Macaca fascicularis: one gene and its partners. Each later gene encodes a partner of the first gene's protein in a complex. Links are inferred from orthologs where the notes say so. Each region holds a gene or a part of one and is shown in the gene's direction. Other genes may lie near its edges.

Region 1 (2,649 bases):
ACCCTGATTCAGCCAGGCACTTGTAAGGTAGCTGGGATTCAGCCTCAGGCCTGCCTGGGTCTGCCTGTGTGCGTCTTCCCACTGCTGTGCCTCCCTTGGTGGCACAGGTGTCCCCTCCACTTCCCCCATTCCTAAAACAGCCCTAAAATGTAACTCCAGGGAGTTACGAACAATGTTTCTGAAATGTTGATGGTGATGACAGCCACAACCACAACACTAATAGCAGCTGTAATTTTGGGGTGTTGTGTGTGAAGCCCTTCATAGGGTGCTTTGATTGTCTTACTTGATCCTCACAAGAACTCCACAAGTTAAGTGACACTGACTCCATCATCCAGGTGAGGAAGTTGAGGCTCAGAGATGTCCCCATGGAGGGGCCTGAGAGTGACCTCAGGAAATACTTGAGTTAGGCCAGAGCAGAATCATGCTGGGCTGTCAGCCTGCAAGTGACATCAGTGCCACTTGGCTCTGGAGTCACCTGGGTGGCAGAGGGTCTGGGCTAGAACCTTAAGGGATTGAGAGAGGCAGGGCTCCAGTGGAAACCCCAGACCTTGCTGAAGCAGTTAGACCTGAGCTGTCTTCCTACCACGGAGACCCTCTTGGCGCTGCCCTGTTCTGTCACCATCTGGCACGCCTGGCCTGGGGTCCCTGGGCCATGGAGGGGACTCTGCTTCCCACTGTAGTGCCCATCCCATTCCCTACCTCTCAGGTCCCCTTCTCCCCCAACCCTTCCCTGGGGTCCTGGGCCACCTCCTGTGGCTGTCTGTACCCCTCATCTCTCTCACCTTTCATTTGGCCTCTTTCCTAGAACTACTCTGGAGACCTCGGGGCGCGAGTGGCCCTGCATGAACTCTACAAGTACATCAACAAGTACTATGACCAGGTGGGCAGGCCCTGGGCCCCAACTGGGAGGCTGACCCAAGGCATCCCAGGAGACTTAAGGGGCTCTGACCCTGTGACTCATGGTGGGGGCTTTGGTCTTCCCCAGGAACAGCATAGTGGGGGACCGGGCCCCTGGGCGGCTTGGGAAGTGTTCTCCAGGCGGGTTTCCTGGCATTGACTGTACTCTCACTTGTCCCACCACTCCCCATTCCGGCTCCCCAGCAGGATGGCGAGGCACAGTGCTGGTGGTTGTGGGGGCCAAGGGGTCTACCAGGGCCTGGAGGTGGTATGCATTTGCTGAGTTGGCAGCATGTTGGGCATGGCCAACATGCAGGTGCAGGCCTGGCTTGGCTGCATGAGCTGAGAAGAGGAGAGTCCAGGCACACGGGCTGGGGTGTGAGGGTACACTGGAGCTGGTGAATCTTTTTGGACGATCCCTGGGCTGGGCCTGAAGAGCTGAGCACCTGCCAGTCAACCTGCTGGGTGCCTGATGGAATAGTCCACTTAGATGTTTGTGTGGCACCAGTGAAGTGATTGTTGCTGCTCAGAGATGAGGAACCTGCCTCATGGCCCACAGTCTTCCTGGGCATGGTATGGGCCATGGCATGGGGCATGGGGGAGGCAGAGTGTAATGCAGGCATGACCCCTCGTGGAGACATAGTGGGCAGTGGCTGTTTTCCAAAGTGCTGCTGCCCTCCGGTTCCTACTGGCTCCCTTGGTGGCAGCCCCCAATTTGTGGTTGGTGTTTGATCAGTGTCTGTTTTCTCAGCACATGTGTCTGGTCATTCTTGGGTCTCTGCCCCTTGTCTGGCACCAGGCAGATAGGAACTTGGGAAATGCTGTTGCCGGGCGGGTGGGTGAGCCAGGATGGCTGCATCAGGGCTTCTGAGGGGCTCGGTACTGAGTCAGGTCCTTCATTTCCTACCTTATTCGTCCAGAAACGGTGGCTTTGATGTTATTACCCCTCCTGCTGGCGAGGCCCTGAGGTCACAGAAAGTACGTGAAGTGACTGGCTGGGTTTCTTGGCCTCCTATCCCACTTGTGCCACAGCGTCTTAGGAGGGCTGTTGAATTTTGCAGCAAACACGTTGGCCAAAGAAGTCTCCCCCTGATGGCATTGGTCTCTGTTTCAGATCATCACTGCCCTGGAGGAGGATGGCACGGCCCAGAAAATGCAGCTGGGCTATCGGCTCCAGCAGATTGCAGCTGCTGTGGAAAACAAGGTCACAGATCTATAGGGACCCAGGAGCCACGGCCTGCTATTGCTTCAGCCCGGCCTGGGCAGCCCTGGAACCTCGGGGGGAGAGGCCACCTTCTTAGGTGCCTGTAGTGACTGACAAGCAGTTAGTGGAAGGTGACTCACAGTCTCCTGGTGGCTCTGGCCTTGGCCCTGCTGGACCCACCTCCTAGGCCAGGGGCCTCAAGGCTCATGGGGTAGGACCTAGCCTGCTTCCCGAGTCCAGGGACCCTATGACACCGGTCTGCAGGGAGTTGGGGACTGAGGGCTTCCAGAGAGTGGCCGGAAGAGCCTCCAGGCCCCTGGGGAGACTGTGCTGTTCCTGAACACTGGCCTTGGCTGCACTGGGATTCGGAGAGGAAGGAGGAGAGCCCCATACTTCCTGTCTGCCTCCTCCACCATTCCTGACCTCAGTTGAGCTGCCTCTGGCCTCGTTGCTGCTGCCACATCCTAGGTCTAAGAGTTGAATGCCTCTCCTAGGCCACTGCAGACTGACCCCTCAGCAGGGCTGGCTGTCACAGGGCCACCCTGCCT
Region 2 (3,650 bases), on another chromosome or scaffold:
TGCATGCCCCTGAGCTTCAGGTGGGTGCAGTGTGGGGCACCCTCCTTCCAGCTGAGTTCCATTCAAAAGCAGTCAGCAGCCTTGGATGCCTGTGTGCTGGGCACTGCTGGTGCCAGGTGGGCTGATGGGATTGGCCTGAAGCTGGTGTCCCTGGGAGCCAAGTGTCCCAGAAGGTGGAGAGTCTCACCTGCCCTCTGCTGTGGGTGTGGCTGCTCTGGAGCTCTTCCCTTTTACTTATAGACACGTGAAGAGCAAAGGCATTGTTCCTTCTTTTATGTTATGTATCGCGATCTGCTCATCCTTTGCATGTCGTCCATTTGGCATCCCCGTTATGTTAGGTCCCTGCTGGATCCAGAGCCTCACAAGAGGCTCCCCGCCCATAGGTGCTCACATTCTGGCTCGAGGGATAAGGTTGGGCTTCGAGGTGGTGTGCTTCAGCCTCTGGCTGCAGCCCCTTCTCCCCTGTAGTGAGGCCGGGAAGATGACCAGGAGTGCCAGGCTCATGCATCCCCCTCTACGTGGAGGCGGTCTGGAGGTGGGGACTGAACAGCCTCTCCACTGGCTAAGAGAAACACATGCAGAGAAGCGCTCTGCTGGAGGGCAGGACCCGGGCAGTGGGTGCCCAGACAGGGGAGAGAGGGATTTGGATCTAAGGCCCAGTGAGCCCTGATGTAGCGCGTGTATTCTGCCGGAAGGTCGCAGGCCTGCCTTGTTCGCCTCTGGTTCTGAGTACCTGTCCTCCTTACTGCAGCGTGCCCTGATGGTGCACTCTGGCTGCTTCCCACACACTGGTGCCTGCTTGCCTGATGCTAGTTCTCCTGTGTCTCACACACGCAGGGCAGGAGGTTCGTCTATGCTGGCTCTAACTCGGGCGTGGTCCAGGCCCCTCTGGCCTTCTGTGGGAAGCACGGCACCTGCGAGGACTGTGTGCTGGCTCGGGACCCCTACTGCGCCTGGAGCCCACCCACAGCGACGTGTGTGGCTCTGTACCAGACTGAGAGCCCCAGCAGGTACGGGGTGGGACGCGCCGCCGGGGGATGTCCCCGTGTGTGCGGGTGAGTAACACTGCCGGTTGTTTTGCAGGGGTTTGATTCAGGAGATGAGCGGCGATGCTTCTGTGTGCCCGGGTGAGTGACTCCTCGACGTCCTGGTTCCTGTGGGAGTGGCGAGGTCTTGTAACCATTTCATGGTGCTTCAGTTCTGTGGCATTTGTGTGTGTTTTGTTTTTCTTTCTCCACTTGGAACAGAGGTTAAGTGTCCTGTAGCAGACTCGTGGTCTTCTCTGTCTTTTTTTCTTGCCAAAAGAGTATTTGAAGCCACTTAGAGTGTGTCTGTTTACTGGGGAGCAGTCTCCTTCCAAAACGGTCCTGTTTTCTTTCTGCTTAGCTTGGGGCTCATTAAACAAAACCTAAGTCTGTTACAAATGGGGAGAAAGGAGCCTGTGAGTGATTAATCCTCAGGCAGTGGAAGGGCTGGGGTGGTGTTTCCCCTGGGGCTCCCACCTGAGATTCACCCGCCTGTGGATGTCTGAAATAGCGCCTCGCCCAGAGGGAGGGGTGGCATCAGGCCAGGACGCCCCTTCCCCAGCAGCCACCTTCCAGGGTGCTAAAGGCAGACTTGACCCTCGGTTCTGTGTCCTCCTGTCCCTGACAAGACAGCTGTCATCAGACTAAGAAAAGTTTAGACAGCTGGGCATGGCGGTACACGCCTGTAGTCCCAGCTACTAGGGAGGCTGAGGCAGGAGGATTGCTTGAGCCCAGGGGTTCAAGGCTGCGGTGAGCTTATCATGCCACTGCACTCCAGCCTGGGTGACTAAGTGAGACCCAGACTCTAAAAAGAAAAGAAAAGCTGGCCGGGCACAGTGGCTCACGCCTGGAATCCAGCATTTTGGGAGTCTGAAGCAGGAGGATCACTTGAGCTCATGAGTTCAGGACCACCCTGGGCAATGTGGTGAGACCCTGTCTCTACAAAAAATACAAAAATTAGCCAGACCTGGAGGTAGACACCTGTAGTCCCAGCTACTCTGGAGACTGAGGTGGGAAGATCCCTTGAACTGGGGAGGTTGAGGCTGCAGTGAGCTGTGATTGCACCACTGCACTCCAGCCTGGGCAACAGAACCAGACCCTGTTTCAAGAAAAAAAAAAAAAAAAAAAAAGTTTAGGCAGGAGGAGAGTGCTGAGATACACCGAAAGGTCAGCCTTCCTTGTAGCCACTAGCAGAAGCATCTCGTGTCTGATTCAGAGAGTGACACTAGGCGCACAACTGGCCTCTGCTCAGCCTCCCCGGCCTGGCGCGTTTTCTTCTGGGACACGGGTGAGAAATGCGATTTCTGCTGCTCAGAGCTGCCTCTGATTTCTTTGTCCCTATCGGCTGTCATCCAGGGCTCATCTTTGCTTTTTGGTCACGCATGTCTTTATCTCCTTAGTTGTTCTGGAAGATTCCATGTTGCTCCAGTGGGTGAAACTCTTGCATCATCTTGTGGGTATTTTAAAGAAATTGTTAAATAGCAAATGGGGATTGTTGACGCTGTGCACGTTTATTTTGATGTTCCAGATAAAAGTAAAGGAAGTTACCGGCAGCATTTTTTCAAGCACGGTGGCACAGCGGAACTGAAATGCTCCCAAAAGTCCAACCTGGCCCGGGTGTTTTGGAAGTTCCAGAATGGCGTGTTGAAGGCTGAGAGCCCCAAGTACGGTCTTATGGGCAGAAAAAACTTGCTCATCTTCAACTTATCAGAAGGAGACAGTGGGGTGTACCAGTGCCTGTCAGAGGAGAGGGTTAAGAACAAGACGGTCTTCCAAGTAGTCGCCAAGCACGTCCTGGAAGTGAAGGTGGTTCCAAAGCCCGTGGTGGCCCCCACCTTGTCAGTTGTTCAGACAGAAGGTAGTAGGATTGCCACCAAAGTGTTGGTGGCATCCACCCAAGGGTCTTCTCCCCCGACCCCAGCCGTGCAGGCCACCTCCTCCGGGGCCATCACCCTTCCTCCCAAGCCTGTGCCCACCAGCACATCCTGTGAACCAAAGATTGTCATCAACACGGTCCCCCAGCTCCACTCGGAGAAAACCATGTATCTTAAGTCCAGCGATAACCGCCTCCTCATGTCCCTCTTCCTCTTCTTCTTTGTTCTCTTCCTCTGCCTCTTTTTCTACAACTGCTATAAGGGATACCTGCCCAGACAGTGCTTGAAATTCCGCTCGGCCCTGCTGATCGGGAAGAAGAAGCCCAAGTCAGATTTTTGTGACCGTGAGCAGAGCCTGAAGGAGACGTTAGTGGAGCCAGGAAGCTTCTCCCAGCAGAATGGGGAGCACCCCAAGCCAGCCCTGGACACTGGCTATGAGACTGAGCAAGACACCATCACCAGCAAAGTCCCCACGGACAGGGAGGACTCACAGAGGATCGACGACCTTTCCGCCAGGGACAAGCCCTTCGACGTCAAGTGTGAGCTGAAGTTCGCGGACTCAGATGCAGATGGAGACTGAGGCCGGCTGTGCGTCCCCGCCGGCGCCCCAGCTGCGACGTGTCCAGGCCTGGAGTGTTTTGTGTTTCTCCTGTTCAGTATCCGAGTCTCGTGCAGTGCTGCGTAGGTTAGCCCGCATCGTGCAGACAACCTCAGTCCTCTTGTCTATTTTCTCTTGGGTTGAGCCTGTGAC
Region 3 (3,650 bases), on another chromosome or scaffold:
GCTCAAGCACTCCTTTCTCAGCCTCCCACAGTGCGGGGATTACAGGCATGAGCCACCATGTCCAGCCGGTGTTCTGTAGTTTAAATAAGGGTAGGACTGTTTACTATGGTAACTTTCCAGGTCATTTAATAACACAAGATAATGTATTATTTTCTCATGAGGGTCTTCAAAAGCATAAAAGTTGGAACCATTATAGGAACAATAGTAGAATGTTTACTAATTGCCACTTCTAGTATGTGGGCTTATGTGTTAACTTTTTCGGATTTTAAGTCTTTCTGTACCATTTCACTAGGTGGTGGTTTTGGCAGATTTATTTGGTGGCCGTTAAAATAGACTTTTATGTCATATATTAATACTTTGTCAACAAGCTTGTAAATGTGCTTATTCCCCTTAACTTCCAAAGAATGAGAGTTTTCTAGAGCTGCTAATACTAAAAGATGATTCTCTTACTAATAAGTTGTTAATATTTAGACCAAGCCTAAGTAGTACCTGGACTTTTCATGAGTACTATTTCTTAGAACTTTCTTTGAAATTAGAGCCTTGGAACTCAGAAGCCACTTTCTTATAGACAAGCATATGTACCATGCTCATCCAATTATTCATAGAAAAATTAAAGGATATGTTGAGACTCTAGTGGCTGAATGTTTGTAACTTGATTTTCATAATCTGTTACTATCTGTTTAGAATGAGGTTTGGAAGATAGTACTCCTGAATGTTTTTCTGCAAGATACCTTTTCCTTTTTAGAAAATCGTATGCAGATTACTTTAACATGGCCTTTGTGCCATTTTCAAGAACTGACAAATAGCAGTAATGATAGTTGATGTAAATGGCGTATTTTATATTAAGAATTTCTTAAAAAGAGACTGTATTATATAGAATATCATGTTACTGAGTGCTTGGAAATTATTTGTGCATGATTTTCTTTATTTTGCCAGAATTTGGATTTAACAAAAAGGAAGATGATTCATGAAGGACCATTGGTTTGGAAGGTGAATAGAGATAAAACTATTGGTAGGTCTGATATTGTCTGTTAGTTTTGGGGAGAGTGGCAAAAGGGAAGAAATAGGAGTTTCCTATGACAAAAGGAAGAGGAGAGAACCATTCTCTCAGCAGTTAGCAGTGCTACCTCGTGTTATTTGTACATTTGTAGATCTGCTTGTGTTATTTCATTATATGTAACGTGTTAAATATTCATTTAGGAATGTAACAGAGATCTGATTTAGTCCTATTTCCATCATTCTTATATTCTAGTAAGTCTTAGTATGCTTTGTAAGCTTTCTTTAGACCAGTACTTGTTAAACTGTCTGTGATGAGGAACTGTTTTTTTTTTTTTTTTTTTCCAAGAAACAAGGTCTTACTATGTTGCCCAGGCTGACGTGTAGTGGCTATTCACAGATGCAGTCATGGTGCACTGCTGCCTCGAACTCCTGGGCTTAAGTGATCCTCCTGCCTTAGCCTCCCTAGTAGCCAGGATTATAGGCGCACACCACCACACCCAGCTTGTTGTTTTTTATTTCCTGTTGGTCACAGATTGACACTTTAGTGAAATACAATAAAAATGAATTATTGAAAATGAAATTTTAAAAGATAATATACAAGTCAATTTTGAAAATTTTGTAGCTTTAACAGAAATAAAATTCCTCTGTTGAATCATTATAAAGTTAACCAAAGACGTCCCAATTTCTGTACTTACCATTTTTTTCTGTACTTTTATTTCTAGATTTATACACATTGCTGCTAGAAGACATTCTTGTATTGTTACAAAAGCAGGATGATAGACTGGTGTTAAGGTGTCATAGTAAGATTCTGGCATCTACAGCTGATAGCAAACATACGTTTAGCCCTGTCATTAAGTTGAGTACAGTGTTGGTTCGACAAGTGGCAACAGGCAAGTATGTCCACTGAAGGATACTAATTTCCAGGTTCATTGTGAAGTTGCATAAGATACTCATTGCTGTTTAAGTAACACAAGTGGCATAGAGTCTTGCTATTTTTATATTATTAAGCAAATTACGTGAAATTTACTGCTTAGAAAGAGACTTAAGAGTTTATACCCCAAAGTTATTTAGGGTGTCTAGATTCTGTGAATGGTTTTCTGTATTTGAAAATTTTTATGCTGTTACTTTGGTTCTTTATGTTCAAATCATTGATAGATCCCAGTGAAAAGCCTTTCATTTAGGGTGGTATGTTTTTTGATTTGGTAAGAAAAAAAATAAAAACTGAAGAGATGGATGGAATTTTGATTAAAAATCAAATTTGACTGGCAAGTTGTATTTTAACTCTATTAACAAAGGGGTCCCTTTTAAAACTTGTTAGTTTCATGGTGGCAAAATAAATTTGTGATCTCTTTTCTCCACTATTCACTGAATATTATTAACAACTTAGCAAAAGGGCAGTTCAAAATAAATGCAAAAGAGTAATAGCATTTAATTTGGTAATTTGGATTTTTTTTTTTTTTTTCTTTTGAGACGAGGGTCTCACCCTGTCACCCAGGCTGGAGTTCAGTGGTGCATCCTTGGCACACTGCAACCTCTGCATCCCGTGCTCAAGCAATTCTTCAACCTCAGCCTCCTGAGTAGCTGGGACTACAGGCATGTACCACCATGGCCTGGCTAATTTTTTTGTTTTTTGTAGAGGCAGCGTTTCGCCATGCTGCCCAGGCTGGTCTTGAACTCCTGAGCTCAACGAAGTCCACCTGCCTCAGCCTTCTAAAGTGCTGGGATTACAGGCATGAGCCACCATGCCCAGCCAGTAATTTGGATTTTTGACATCCTTTTGTTTCTAGTGAATTATTGTGGAATTAGTGCTAATTTGTATAATCTTTGTTTTATTGAAGTACAATAAATATAATACAGTAATTAGGTTAATATGGTAAGTTGCACAAATTTTAACTGTACATCTTGATGAATTTTAAAGTAAATATATGTAACCTTTATCTAGTTTAAGGAGAGGACTATTTCAAGACTCTAAAAACATCCCTCATGGTCTCCCAAGATCAGAGTGTTAGAGTAATCTTGTCTTGTTTTTTCCAGATAACAAAGCTTTATTCGTCATCTCCATGTCAGACAATGGAGCTCAGATTTATGAACTGGTGGCACAGACAGTTTCTGAAAAGACTGTGTATGTATTAGATATGGCTACCTTGCTATAGCTACTATTTTCATTATCCCAAGCATAATACTCCATAAACTTAACTTTGTTTTTATAATGTATGGAAACCAAGCACTTCTTCTACTCTTTTAGAGACATTCTACTATGAAATTGTTCTTTTTTAGATTGATGCCTTTTATTTTGATTCTATTCTGGAAGTTTATTTCCTAAAGAAAAAAATATGGAAAATGTCAGCTGAAGTTTTTTTAATGGGTAATGTCTCCATAACGTTAGATTTTTCTTAAGGTATAGTTTTGGACTCTCACCTTAATAGTGTGTTGCCAAAATAAAGATATTCTCTGGCAGAGTGAAGTGTTTTTTTTTTTTTTTGGTTGGTTGGTTGATTGGTTTTTGTTTAGTTCTGTTTTTCTTTTTGTTTTGTGAGTATATTTAAAGGATATTTCTTTTGTTGTTTCTTTTTTGTATTTTGGATTTCTTTCCAACTTTCTGAAGCTGGCAGGACCTAATCTGTCGGATGGCTGCATCAGTGAAGGAGCAA

The links.
Region 2: the proteins of PLXNB1 (region 1) and SEMA4D are in contact, whole or in part, in a crystal structure (PDB 3OL2), measured with the Homo sapiens proteins. The link is inferred for Macaca fascicularis from reciprocal best matches to the Homo sapiens genes PLXNB1 and SEMA4D. Residues at the interface, in NP_001123554.1 of Homo sapiens: Leu80, Pro81, Pro82, Glu87, Arg136, Pro137, Gly138, Asp139, Thr140, Tyr142, Gly178, Glu202, Lys205, Ala207, Gly209, Arg210, Ser212, Glu213, Arg235, Arg242, Asp359, Val360, Asn361, Ser362, Leu367, Pro368, Thr371, Tyr375, Ser379, Asp380; in NP_001358123.1 of Homo sapiens: Glu99, Lys100, Gly101, Phe158, Tyr179, Phe181, Leu182, Gly183, Ser184, Arg198, Tyr201, Ile203, Glu208, Val240, Leu264, Arg265, Thr266, Leu267, Gln268, Lys270, Thr347, Gln350, Ser351, His352, Thr353, Asp388, Gln392, Lys395.
Region 3: the proteins of PLXNB1 (region 1) and ARHGEF12 are in contact, whole or in part, in an NMR structure (PDB 2OS6), measured with the Homo sapiens proteins. The link is inferred for Macaca fascicularis from reciprocal best matches to the Homo sapiens genes PLXNB1 and ARHGEF12. Residues at the interface, in NP_001123554.1 of Homo sapiens: Glu2129, Lys2131, Val2132, Thr2133, Asp2134, Leu2135; in NP_056128.1 of Homo sapiens: Phe82, Gly83, Leu84, Thr85, Val86, Ser87, Gly88, Asp89, His127, Val131, Lys135.

The regions. Positions count from the first base shown.
Region 1 is NC_088376.1:111,368,680-111,371,328, reverse strand, and holds part of PLXNB1 (plexin-B1), read left to right. Parts: intron 1-805; coding exon 806-880; intron 881-2,011; coding exon 2,012-2,116; 3' UTR 2,117-2,649. UniProt on the Homo sapiens protein: Receptor for SEMA4D. Plays a role in GABAergic synapse development. Mediates SEMA4A- and SEMA4D-dependent inhibitory synapse development. Plays a role in RHOA activation and subsequent changes of the actin cytoskeleton.
Region 2 is NC_088389.1:119,732,728-119,736,377, reverse strand, and holds part of SEMA4D (semaphorin-4D), read left to right. Parts: intron 1-837; coding exon 838-1,010; intron 1,011-1,083; coding exon 1,084-1,127; intron 1,128-2,553; exon of another isoform or gene 2,554-3,650. UniProt on the Homo sapiens protein: Cell surface receptor for PLXNB1 and PLXNB2 that plays an important role in cell-cell signaling. Regulates GABAergic synapse development. Promotes the development of inhibitory synapses in a PLXNB1-dependent manner.
Region 3 is NC_088388.1:119,342,642-119,346,291, forward strand, and holds part of ARHGEF12 (rho guanine nucleotide exchange factor 12), read left to right. Parts: intron 1-936; coding exon 937-1,012; intron 1,013-1,721; coding exon 1,722-1,889; intron 1,890-3,033; coding exon 3,034-3,121; intron 3,122-3,604; coding exon 3,605-3,650. UniProt on the Homo sapiens protein: May play a role in the regulation of RhoA GTPase by guanine nucleotide-binding alpha-12 (GNA12) and alpha-13 (GNA13). Acts as guanine nucleotide exchange factor (GEF) for RhoA GTPase and may act as GTPase-activating protein (GAP) for GNA12 and GNA13.